2 linked regions of the Arabidopsis thaliana genome follow. The protein of the gene in region 2 interacts with the protein of the main gene of each other region in a pairwise test. Each region holds a gene or a part of one and is shown on either strand. Other genes may lie near its edges.

What was found.
Region 1: the proteins of ATJ1 (region 2) and MYB51 interact in a two-hybrid assay, tested with the Arabidopsis thaliana proteins (one study listed by BioGRID).

Annotation. Positions count from the first base shown.
Region 1 is NC_003070.9:6,387,755-6,392,124, reverse strand, and holds MYB51 (myb domain protein 51), read right to left. Parts: upstream 2,727-4,370; 5' UTR 2,361-2,726; coding exon 2,225-2,360; intron 2,111-2,224; coding exon 1,981-2,110; intron 1,892-1,980; coding exon 1,099-1,891; 3' UTR 739-1,098; downstream 1-738. Other genes in the region: AT1G18560 (BED zinc finger and hAT dimerization domain-containing protein), read right to left, coding at 4,120-4,370. UniProt on the Arabidopsis thaliana protein: Transcription factor positively regulating indolic glucosinolate biosynthetic pathway genes.
Region 2 is NC_003070.9:9,852,467-9,860,643, reverse strand, and holds ATJ1 (DNAJ heat shock family protein), read right to left. Parts: upstream 6,128-8,177; 5' UTR 6,047-6,127; coding exon 6,029-6,046; intron 5,909-6,028; coding exon 5,851-5,908; intron 5,431-5,850; coding exon 5,389-5,430; intron 5,296-5,388; coding exon 5,204-5,295; intron 5,080-5,203; coding exon 4,996-5,079; intron 4,910-4,995; coding exon 4,871-4,909; intron 4,788-4,870; coding exon 4,677-4,787; intron 4,600-4,676; coding exon 4,564-4,599; intron 4,446-4,563; coding exon 4,358-4,445; intron 3,932-4,357; coding exon 3,867-3,931; intron 3,768-3,866; coding exon 3,705-3,767; intron 3,619-3,704; coding exon 3,546-3,618; intron 3,149-3,545; coding exon 3,057-3,148; intron 2,624-3,056; coding exon 2,552-2,623; intron 1,996-2,551; coding exon 1,939-1,995; intron 1,795-1,938; coding exon 1,746-1,794; intron 1,666-1,745; coding exon 1,596-1,665; intron 1,274-1,595; coding exon 1,184-1,273; coding exon of another isoform or gene 1,180-1,183; exon of another isoform or gene 788-1,179; coding exon of another isoform or gene 760-787; and 4 more. Other genes in the region: PUP3 (purine permease 3), read left to right, coding at 1-341. UniProt on the Arabidopsis thaliana protein: Plays a continuous role in plant development probably in the structural organization of compartments.

The sequences.
Region 1 (4,370 bases), 3.5 Mb from region 2:
TTTATTTATATAGAGAAAACACTATCTTTGAAAAGCAAATTAATTCATTCACCCTTTTTTTGAAATATTAAAATATTGAAACAAATCACAAATCAGCTTTTGCTTTTGTTTTCTTCATGGTGCTTTCGAAAGGTTAGGGATCATAATGCACTTTTTCTTATCCTTTTTTTTTTTTTGGTATCAACTTCTTCTTATCTTTAACCCTCGGAACATTCAAAGAATGATCCTCTCGCTTGCTTTAAATTTATGTGGGTCTCATTGCTGAATATTATTCGTATGTTGATAGGGTGAATTTTATATACATTAGAGAATGAAAGATTTAAGTCACAAAATAAGTTAATCGTTGGTTTTTTTTTTAATATACAAAACTGGTTGAGGATATATTTCTTTACCAATCTGCTCAATCTATTAGCCCTAACTCATAAAATAAACCAGAGCATCTCCATCCATACAATTTTTAGAGTTTCTTTTGATAAAGATAATATAAATAATTAATAAATGAGGAGAGAGAATGACAAAAAATGAAGAAACGTTTCTTGAGAAATTTTGGAATAATCAGTGAAAGACTATTTCTATAAGTGTTTGCTTATAATTGAATATTTTTTTTAAAAAAAAATAATTACAAAATTAAATTACAGTAATTTTTTATTTTATTTTAAAACCTTTTAAAGTATCTTACAGATGAAGATGACCTAATAGTGGAATACTGCCAATTAAAATTTAAAATAGCAATGGTACTAGTAGTTAGCAGCAGCAGCAGCTAATGAATGATTTTTCAAAATAAAGCAATCTCATATTCGGATGGATACAAATTCTGATAACCAACACAATAAAAGTACTAAAGTTAACAACTCGTTAACATTATAATTATTACATCACCATTTATAATCCATTTACAACGAAACAACACACTTCAGACCAAAAAAAAAAAACACAAAAACACAAGCATATGTGACAACACGAACTACATTCATGATTCATGCATGGTCATCATCACCATCATTATTTATTATTATTACCATCAACATCATCAAGGTAACATATCCATAGACATCATATTGACATGGTCACGTGGGATTCATCGATTATGAGTTTCACTCATCCAAAATAGTTATCAATTTCGTCAAACAAGTCTTGACGTTCATAGACCGGCGTCACATCAACGACGTCGTTTTCATCCTCGTGAAGAAACCTCGTAAGTTCTTTCATGAACGCAGTGTTTTCAACACAAGACTCCTCCAACATCATGAAATCTTCATCATTCAGAAATGTGGAGAACCCGATAGTATCCTCATCATCAACGTTGTTATTACCAACGAAATTATCGCAGTACATTAGAGGATTGTTAACGGAGGAATCAGAGAACGTGGACGAAGAACACGTCAGATTAACGTTACCATCAACGTCAAAGTTCGATGAAACTGGTGTTGTTGCAACGGTCCCATGGCAGAGAAGATTCGAGGTTGGTGCGAAGGAAGAACTCGTTGACTTAACTGATTCAGAGTCAACGGAAACACTTGTAGTTGTAGTATTAGTAGTGTGACTAGTAGAAGCAAGTGGGCCTCCACTTCCGATAATCTCAGACAGAACACTCTGATTGATTCTCTTTCCGAACCTATTAGCTACTTTGTTCAAGAAACTAGCCGATGATAATCCAAAATTCTTGTTGTTCTTCTTCGCCTTGTCATTATCAAGATCATGGTCACTAGTTGTCAGATTAACATTTTGTTTCTCCGGGAGGTTTTCTGATTTGTCGGTACCGGAGGTTATGCCCTTGTGTGTAACTGGATCAATACCTTTCTTGATCAAACGTTTTTTGATATGAGTGTTCCAGTAGTTCTTGATCTCGTTATCGGTTCTTCCTGGTAGTCCACGAGCTATAGCAGACCATCTGATTAAAACCACATATAAGATTACAATATTAGTAAATGTTAATGCAAACAAAAAATAAGTATAAAATGTAGAGGTAGAGAGACTAACTTGTTGCCGTGAAGGGCGTGAAGAGAGATGATTGAACGTTCTTCGTCTTCAGTGAACTCTCCTCTTTTGATGTCAGGTCTAAGATAATTGGCCCATCTCAGTCTGCAGCTTTTGCCGCATCTCTTGAGTCCTATCCAATTAGAAGAATTATTTAAGTAAAATAATTGAGCAATAATGACCAATAAAGGTCCAACATTGAATATTCAAACATGACGGAATAAACATAATAAAAAATAATACATACCAGCTTTTTCGGGGAGAGTTCGCCATCCACCTTCACCGTGGCGGTTAAGGTAAGAGAGAAGCTTCTGATCTTCCTCGGGAGTCCAAGCTCCTTTCTTTAACCCTAGTTCAGCTTTGCAACACGGTGTCCGCACCATTCTTGATTCTTCAAACTTAGCTTTCTTGATCGAGTTCAAAGGGGGTTGTTCTCAAGTGAAACAAAGAGGGACAAAAAAACACAAAAAAAAAAACTGAGAGGTGAAACAAAGTGTGAAATGGGGCGTATGATCATAGAGATTGAGCACAAGATCTTTTGATTAAAGAATTCAGACATCGGTAGATTCTTCGAATAGACATCTTGTTCTTTTGTGATACTCGAGATCGTTATAACATTGAACGAGCAGAGGAGAAGAGAGATCTAGTTGCTCTGTTTTCTTACCACAAAGAGAGACACAAAGAGAAGGTTTTATAGAGAGAATCTTTTTTTCTCTAAAGAGAACTGTTTGTGTTACACTTTGCAAAGTGGGAAACTTATAGGAAAGAGCCCATCTCTATTTATGCTTGCCTGAGGCTGTACGTGTGGCTGCTGCCAACGTCGTCGTTTAAATATGACTGACACATGGCTCATTATGATTCCTTAACGCAATTTTTTATAATCGGATTATTACATAAAAGAAAAACTGCTAACTTTTGTCAGTGGACATTTTGACACTAGACTTTTGATCTTTCTTAAACTAATTTATTTTATTTTGATTGTCAATAAAAAAATACTACGAAGACATCTATTATATAATATCATTTTTCATAATCCCATGCATAAGAACCGCCACATCTGATATGATATTGATAGTAGCAAAAAAAGGGGAAAAAATAGAATGAATATAGCAAAGGTTGCTAAAAAAAAAGAATGAATATCAAGCATGCAAAATATGTAACGTAAAATTGTCTTGCCTATGTAAATAGCTAATTACGTATCAATTTATTTTGAAATCTATGTCTGCTATGCAAATAGTTTTGATTATGCAATCCAAAATATAAAATTTATTGAAGAATTATAATACGGCGCCGGCAGGTCCGGAACACCAATTAAATTAAAATCCTGTTGAACTTTCTCTTCGATCTTTGGAGATATTTTGTATTGACCCGATTCTTGACCAAAATTTTATTTTAGTTTTTTGGTATTGACCGTCGGTCCAAAGTATATATGAAACTATAATTTCTCAGCAAGTTTTTAATTTTATAACGAGTAAAAAAAAAGCTTTATTGAAATTGGCAACAAATTTTAACCAATGTAAAAAAACATTTTGAATTTATCAGAAGAGTTAAAAAATGTCTATCGAAATGAAAAACCACAAAGGTACGTTTCCATGACAGAATGAATTCAACTTTAAAACTTGGAGTGCGAGGACTTTTCAAAATACGACTGAACTCTTAGTATTTTTTTCTCTCAAATATTTAAATATGCTTAAACAATCATAGAGACGACAAAATTATAAAGAAACAATTGGCAAACTAGCACACGAATTGAAAATTCGAGGAAGGTAAGGTAGAGAGGTACAACACAAAAGTAGTCGTATTTGAACTAGATTAAATTAAAGCAACAACTTGGTCACTCAAACACTGGACTTGGACATATCGATATCCATTATACCAAGGAAAAATCTAAGGTACAAAGAAAGAGATAAGCTATTTTCTTTTTTCGTACAACTAATTTCCACTTTTCTAGTTAGACAGAACCCATTAATTAGTCAACATTGTGTTTTTTTTTCTCTCTAATATGATATGAAAGTACATACGGTTATGAAGAAAGCTAACCAGCTTGGTTTACATCAACCCAACTCTAAATTCAATGATTCATGCTAAAAGTATGACAACTAAATTACAGTAGTTCTTTAGTACAAATACTAAAAAATAATCTCACCTATGTTGTTGAATTTTTTCTAAACCTCCGGCAGAATTATCAGCGGCCACGGTGGCAGCTAACTCCATTAGTCGTTCATAGTCAATCTCACTACACTTGTACTTCAGTTTCATACCAGCTTCAATCCATGATCTGATACAAATAACAGATTGTGTGCTATCATGAGGCATGCAATACTTCTGCTTATCAATCTCTTCTCCTTTACCACAAAAGATCTCTTCCGGTGCAGCAGAAGTCGCCTGAACCG
Region 2 (8,177 bases):
TCAAGCTTGGAGAGGCATTGTTCTATGTGGTGGCTGTGTTTTCAGCCATCATATGGCAAGGCTTCTTCTTGGGAGCCATTGGATTAATCTTCTCCACATCGTCTCTCGTCTCGGGTATTATGATATCAGTGCTTTTGCCAATTACAGAGGTTTTAGCTGTTATATTCTACCATGAAAAGTTTCAAGCTGAGAAGGGACTTTCTCTTGCTCTCTCCCTTTGGGGCTTTGTCTCTTACTTTTATGGTGAGATAAAGTCTGGCGAGGATAAAAGGAGAATTCAGCAGGAGGAGAGTCAGGAGACAGAACAATCTTCTTTGTCAAGACCCATAAGTGAGTGTTAAAACTCAACGAAGCATGGCTTTTCGTTTAAAGACATCATAGCACTCATTTCTCCGCCAAGTAGATTAGAAGATATGTTTGAGAAACTTGTGGGATTATGCCGAAAACACAATCTTAAAGGACTTTTTTTTTTCTTTTCTTTATTTCAGCTTAACTTGTTTGATGTCTCTTATTATTCACATCAAATGAGTTTGTAATAGAATTATGAGGTCAAACAATGACACTCTCTGTTATGCTGGTGAGCTTTTTGTTCTACCAGCAATAGATGAAATTAGTCTTCATTTGTCTTCTGTTGAATGCTTTTATCTTTCATCTCTCGTGGTGGCTTCATCCCATTAACCTGCTCAACAATAGCGCCAGCAGCACCATTAACGAGAAGTCGCGGATGATCTGAGGACCCGTTAGATTCCACCTGTAAGTTCAACCAGTAGAGAGCTTCTGGTAAAGCCTGTTTGGTTCATATTCATGATTCTTCATTACTATAAGGAACAATCGCTAGTGAGGAAATAACATTCAGTTGAATCAAAATGTAAAGAAAAAGCCCCAACAGACATTTTGGCTTTCTTACACTGTTTCCCTTAGAGCTTCTAGTTATTTCTTATAAGAGAACCTAGGTATCTCATTTTTCAATTATGTCTTGTTGTTATCTACATATCCGCCTTTTCTAACTCTTATTTCTAAGCAGGCCTAGAAAATGTACCAGTAATGTATAAGCATCACTAATTCTTCTATTGTAACCAACTACATTCCTTTGAGGTGAATTATACCAGATGTCCATTTACGTCTAACCATCTAATATTACACACAATATGCTGTTATAAACACAATAATAAAATTTACTTACCAACTTCCTTCAGCAGAGTCGCTCAACTCATTGTTGATTTCTTCCTTTGCAAACTCTTCCAGTATAGCACGCTGACGTTCATTCACTTCACTAGTAGATACAAGGAAAAAAGTAAACCGCATAAGCATATACCAGAAATCTATCAATATTAGCTCTTGACGGAAATGAAAAGAAGAGAATCCAACACATCCACATGCCACCAGAACATCAAGAAGCTTATGTAATCAGATTTAATAATCAGACGGCAGGGAAATTAACACAATGTTGTCCTAGGAAAATTATTTCAAAAACCGTAACTTTAGAGCAACAAAGTGTCTTTTCCATTCTAAACACTAGTAGAGTTTTTAGCATAGCATAATGTGGATGTCTCCAACAAGTGTATTACTTGAACTTCAAGTAAAAGAAATCTTACGTAGGAAAGTTAACGCGGAAGCGAACATACTGATCTCCATGATCTACAAAAAAGCCTTGCTTCGGTAGTCCTGCAGGAACTAACCTATTAAGAAGAGTACACGCAAATACACAAAAAAAATTGAACATATAGGCTGATAATTATATGTACCTTTGCCTCTTAAAACAAGAAGTTGATCAGGCTGAGTCCCCTTTGGTATCTGCAACAATTACAATAAGGTACCTCTATTATCTCCAAAGCCTTGAGATCTAACCTTCCTCTTGGTCAGAGGATGAAAACCAACTTGACTCAAATTATAAACAAACAAAATATTATATGAATCTCACTGGGAGACGAATCTTACATCTAGCTGTATCTTGCCTGAAAGTGTTGGCACCACAACTTTGCCCCCCAAAATAGCCTGTCAAATAAGTTTTCTAAGACATGTCCAGTATGGCTCAAGGGAGAAATAGTAGGAACAACGTGAACCATAAGAGATGAAAGGATGCACTATAATAGAAAAATACTGCAGCCGAGGTACTATGGCTTGGTGGCAAAATAGTGCAGTAGCATGCACTTGAGTTTTATGACTGGGGCCATCAAATTGAGTTTGAACCGATATGCCACATTATCTAGTTTAGAGAATAAGCGCATCATATACATAATGATAAAGATGCTACTAGCTAATATTATTAAACCTAGTAGTTTAGTAAACTTTTGGCACATAAACCAGTTGAATAGGACAAAACTCATTAATTTTCAGCTAGACTCCAGATAACTTTTCTCTAGTTTATGTCCTCTAAGAGGTTTTATTTTATCATAGGACATGCCTAAATTATGTTACTGCAGAGCTTTATCAGCTAGCAGTTAAGGCTTTTGAGTTTTGACCACAAAGTGTCACCATGCAGAAAAAACATGAGTTTCGAAGGTACTGCTCTGCTTATAACCCAAAATTCAGGATTCACCAGTGTGCTTACTTGTGTAAAGCTAATATTAGCATCCACATATATATCTGAGCCATCCCTAGTGAAAGTTGAATCATTAGCAACCTGTGACCAAAAGAAGATTAGATACGTGTCAATAAAGGAAAATTCAGCATGCAGTAAGACCCTAAATGAGGCAAGAATGATGATAGAATTGAAGAATACTTTACAAGAGAGCATGAACAATTGATTCACTGGATGTAATAAGTCTTGATTATATAGTGACGCAACAAACAAAGTAGAGTAGCAATCACATATAAATCTGTGAACATTGGTTTAGATCATTTTTGAAATGAATTCGTTCAAAGTCAATATATGACTTATAACATGACTTTGCCACTTATATTAACTGTTTTATCTCTTAGGTTAAATTGATCAATGGACTTAAATGGTAGACCAATCATCAACGTCAAGGGTGAGTTTGATTCAAACTTCTCTAGGCACGTCTTACAAAATATACAAGTACAAATTTGAAGAAAATACAGATGCTTTAACAAACCTTTAGTTTGATATACAAGTTCCCAGGTTGACTTGTTCTTGAACTTACATTACCAGCACCTACGATTGTGATTGTAGCTTCAGACTCCACCCCTGTGGTCAAGTACAGAGAGAAGAAAGCAAATTAAAGTTTGACAGAATTTTGTCATCAAAAACCTATTTCACTATCTAATCCACCAAAGTCATGTAAGATGATAATCGGAAATCACAATCCCAAATTCATTGTTTCATCTTTGCCCCAAAATACCAAGCACAGAATTAACCAGAAAATGTAAATTGCCAAGCATAATCTTAGAAAAGAAAAAGAAAAGCCAGTCAAACAATAAGTGTGACCGATATCTAAATTGGATTACATCTAAACCACACAAATCCTCAAAGAAAGGAACGTAACAGAGTGAATGAAATCTTGCTACTCGTTCCATAGCAGACAGACATGTTTGGAATCAAAACCAAGTTAAAGATAAACAAAAGCATGAAGATTTAGACTAACCTCCAGGGATCACAAGTTCAGCTGTCTTTGTGCCTTCCACAATACCTGATCCTCTACAAGACATGCAGTATTCCTGAAGAAATAAACACATATATACTCGTAACCAGTGCCAGAGAGATAACTACTGAAGCGTCAATAAAGTAGCTCTTTTTCTCAAACCTTAATAATGTGTCCCGTCCCCTTGCACGTCTGGCATGATGCTGTAAAAGGAGGAATAGTTACCTGTTAAAGAGACAGACAGCATAGTACTGTAAATAGAAATTGTATGATTTATTAACCCTCCAAAGAAAATAAAACTTATATCCTCTAAATGGTACTTACTCGTCCAACCCCCCTGCATGTTGGACAAATGCTCATGGCAGCATCGCTAGGGTGGCCAAGCCCATCTGTAAAATGATAAACAATGCGAGATTGGGATTCATGGTTTTGCAACAATATTACTTTCACCCAACTGAGTTTACTCGTCCTCTCAAAGTTGGCTGAATCAGTAACTTTTTAAAGACAGAAGGCTGTAAATGTTACAAGAATAAAATTAAAAAAAGAAAAAAAAAAAAGAGACAACAAACTGTAGATACATGTACATTAACATCGATGGATCACAGAGCCATTTCCAGAAGTCTATTCTTCGTTAAGAAAAATATTTTACCATTTTGGGCAACTGAATAATAATGTACCATGACGAGTTAGGACTCCTAATTTAAAGTGTCTATACTCTCAAGTATCTTTACAGGAAATCTTGCGAGCCATGACTGGCTTGTCAATATTAGTAAATGCAAAAGAGACAATATAAGAAAACTTCTGTGGCCACTCACCACAGGAATCACAAAAGACATATGCATCAAAAGACAAACGTTTTGTGCACCCTTCTGCAGCTTCGGAAAGAGAAAGCGACAGTTCCACCTATTCAATTTTTAACAATATAAACATGTGTATTACTGAAGAGCCCTACACAACAAGATTTATATAAGTCAACCAGATTCCAGTTGTATAAATAAAAGAGAGAATCAGAGAAACTGACCCGAATATCAGGTTTTATCTGATTGTTCTCAAATATCTGAATAAAGTTTACTAATGTTAGAGATTTAACTAATCACATAAAAAGATGAGCAAAAGGGAAACATAATAATGTACCTCAGAAAAAATCTTGTGGAAAGTATCCGAGAAATTGGACTGGTATGCACGTCTGAACCTCTCTGAATCACCACCGTCATTATTTACATAATCCGAATTCCGATACTGCAGCTGGATCGAGTGATAACATCAAGAAATATATTTAGTGATCTCGCCACCAGATAAATAAGAATAAAAACAACAAAAAAGCGTACCTTATCATATTCTTCTCTTCTTTCCGAATTTCCCAGGGTCTACAGTTTTTTAATCCAACACAAAAGTATATCAGAAGATACATTCAAAATACACAGATGATGGCAGATGGAAAAGAAAAAACTACCTCATATGCCTCTCTTATTTCCTGGAACTTCCTTTTTGCTGACGGATTATTTCTATTTGTATCAGGGTGGAATTTTTTCGCAAGCTGCAACAATTGTGCATTCACTCATCAATTTTGAGCAGACAACTTTTACTAATAGTTTTTGCTTGATGTAAAAAAATGTTTAAAGCTGAAGAACAGTCCACTAACAATGAGCCGAAAGACTCACCTCATGAAATGATTTTTTAATCTCCTCCCGTGTAGCTTTAGGAGAAACACCGAGAACATCATAGTAATTACGAGCACTGGAGTTGTTTATACCTGAGAACCATTATCCAAAACCAAAAGCATTTAATGAATAAAATGATACAAAACATCATTTTATTCATTAGCGTGAATGCAAAAAAACAAGACCTGTAGCGTGAATGTATCGCTCGAACAACGGCTTCTGAGACCCTGCAAAGAGTCAAAACTTCCAAGTAATGAATGCATATTTCCTATAGTCTGTAGATAAACACAAACATCAACTGGAAATTCCCTCATGCCCCTAATGTTAGCTACCACGGAGACCTCGAGATTACATTTCGATTCTTTAAAATCAACTCTTGAGTTACCTTTAATAGTGCCCAATACTTTGATACCCCTTCCTGATAAACCCTAAAACCCCATTTCAGCTAAAATTATCACTACATTAGAAATTCTAATAAACCCCAAAAAACTTGACATTGTCGTTGGTCTGTTGCATATACACCTAAATCAGCTCAGAGAAGGCGATAAACCTCGAAGAGCATATGAATGTCAGTTTTTGATTCCTTTTTGAAACAAGCAAAAATTGACGAAATCAATAACCCTAGTTTAACAACTTTTATACATTACCTTGACGCAATCCGATCGCGGAATCAAAAGTTCTTCGAGCTTGTACATGCCGCAGAACCTACGATATAAACATAAATTACAAAATGATTTCAGCTCTCTCGAGGACTCAATTTCAAAATTGAAAGGAAGAAGAAGAAAACGATGAAGCTAAATCTAGAGAGGGATGAAGAAAACAAACCCAGTTGAATCTTCGCATGACTCTTGTGAATTCAAAGCTAAACAGAGAGGAAAAAACGGAGAGGTTTTTGATTTTGAGAGTTAAACCCTTAGACCATTTCCATGATAAATTCCAAACAAACATAAATCAAAAATATTAAAATAATAATTTTTTAATCAGTTTTTTTTAGAATATTTTCTGAAATGAGAAACTTGGAGAAATTTTATCTCTCTTCCAAATGTCATCTTGTCATTAATTTCTTTTCTTTGTTATAAATAAAATCATTTATATTTTATAACATCAATTAAATACTTTATATGTTTATTTTTTTTTTTTTTTTTACTTTTAAAATTCATAAAATTAAATTATCTATATAACAAGCTCTATTATATATATGTTTAAATTATATACGAATATTATTTAATTGGTGTTAGTTAAGCATTAAACATAATAATAACTTATAAATACAATAGTTTTTTTTTAATTAGAAAACAAACATTTAAAATTTTCTATTTTTATTTTACAACATTTTTGGCAATCGAATTCGACTTCGTGATAGAGATATGCACCAACAACTAAAAGATGACCTAGTTGAGCATATATGACAAAAGTTTGGTGCATTATCAAATGAAGAGTAAAACCATAATAGATAATATAGTTAGTTTTGATTTATGTTATCATGGTTTTATATGTAATTTCTGTGTAATTTATATATTTTTTCTATTTAATTTATGTTATCATGGTTTTATATGGAATTTTATGTTTAATTGATATATTTTTTATTATGATTTTATATGTAAAGTAATGTTTAATTATGTTTAATTATGTTTAATTATGGTTTTAAAAATAATAAAACTATTTAATAATATAATTGTAAAAATAATAATTGATATGTTTGAAAATATTGTAGAGATTTTAAATTTAATATAAAAAACATATAATAATATGTTAATGTTAATGAGATACTCATAAGAGTATTTCACCAATGGAAGCACAATTTTAGTATAAGTTTCTCTACTTAAATTAAAATATTAATAATATATTATGAGGTACTCATGGAGTATCTCACCAATGGAGATGCTCTTACGCATATGCTGACGAGAGACGAGAGAAGAGACGTTCGCTAAATCTTTTGCTTTCTCGCCACTACGTCCAGAGTCTCTCTCTGGTTCAGAAGACTCGAAATGGGTTAAACACGTATTCTCTCATTCTCCGTAGTTAATTAATTTAGTGAAACGGTAAAAACAAAATGGTAAAAAATTGGCGGTCGTTATTTTGTAGCGGTAAAGAAAATAGTGAGTTAGACTATTTACAAGTTAACTGTTTGAATTAAAAGTTGAAAGTGATTTGGAAAAAGATGTTGTAGAATTTCTTCAACACCGTTAATTTTGTGAATAAAATCCTTGTACACATATAGTCTTAGAAAATTTGGAAAAAGGTTTGATAAATGTAACTTAGATGCTGCTTGGATTATAAAAAGTAAGCTTTATGGATACGGACTTGAGTTCCCAAGATCATTTAGGTTCAATCTGATTTTGAGGTTTATATAAGAAGCTTCATTTAAACCGTTGAGTGTTTGAGCTATATGAAACTTCAAAAAAATGTCATTCGTTTAAATACCATCAAGAAGAATGTGAATCAACTTTTCTTTTTGGATGAAAACTAGTTTTTTGATATGGTAACTATGTTTTCAACACAACAAAATTTTATCGTCGAATGTCCGAAATGATAAAGACACTCTTAACCTTCATCGGAAAAAATAGCAATTTTTTGTGGTATATCAATAGCGGTTACAATCTAACTTGTTTTGTTGTTGTTATTATGATTAGAACTGTCAATTGGGTGGACCGCATGTGGGTTTTTACAGTCCAAATACACACGGACGGATTATGGTCTGGACTCCAAACTAAAAAACATAAACCAAGCAATCAAAAAGTTAGAATAAGATATTTTTTAGTTAAAACAAAAATCGTAAGTGAAGAAGGTCTGAATTTCTTGAGGAAGATAAACGGGCACAAAACCGGTGTACATACATGGATTATGGATATGTTCTAGAGGAAAGGTATAATTGAATACTAGTATCCGTTACAGAAACTAATTGCATTAAGTTTCGTCTACTGTTTAAGACCGCACGAGATATATATGTTAGACCGACTTTGGGAAAGAGGCT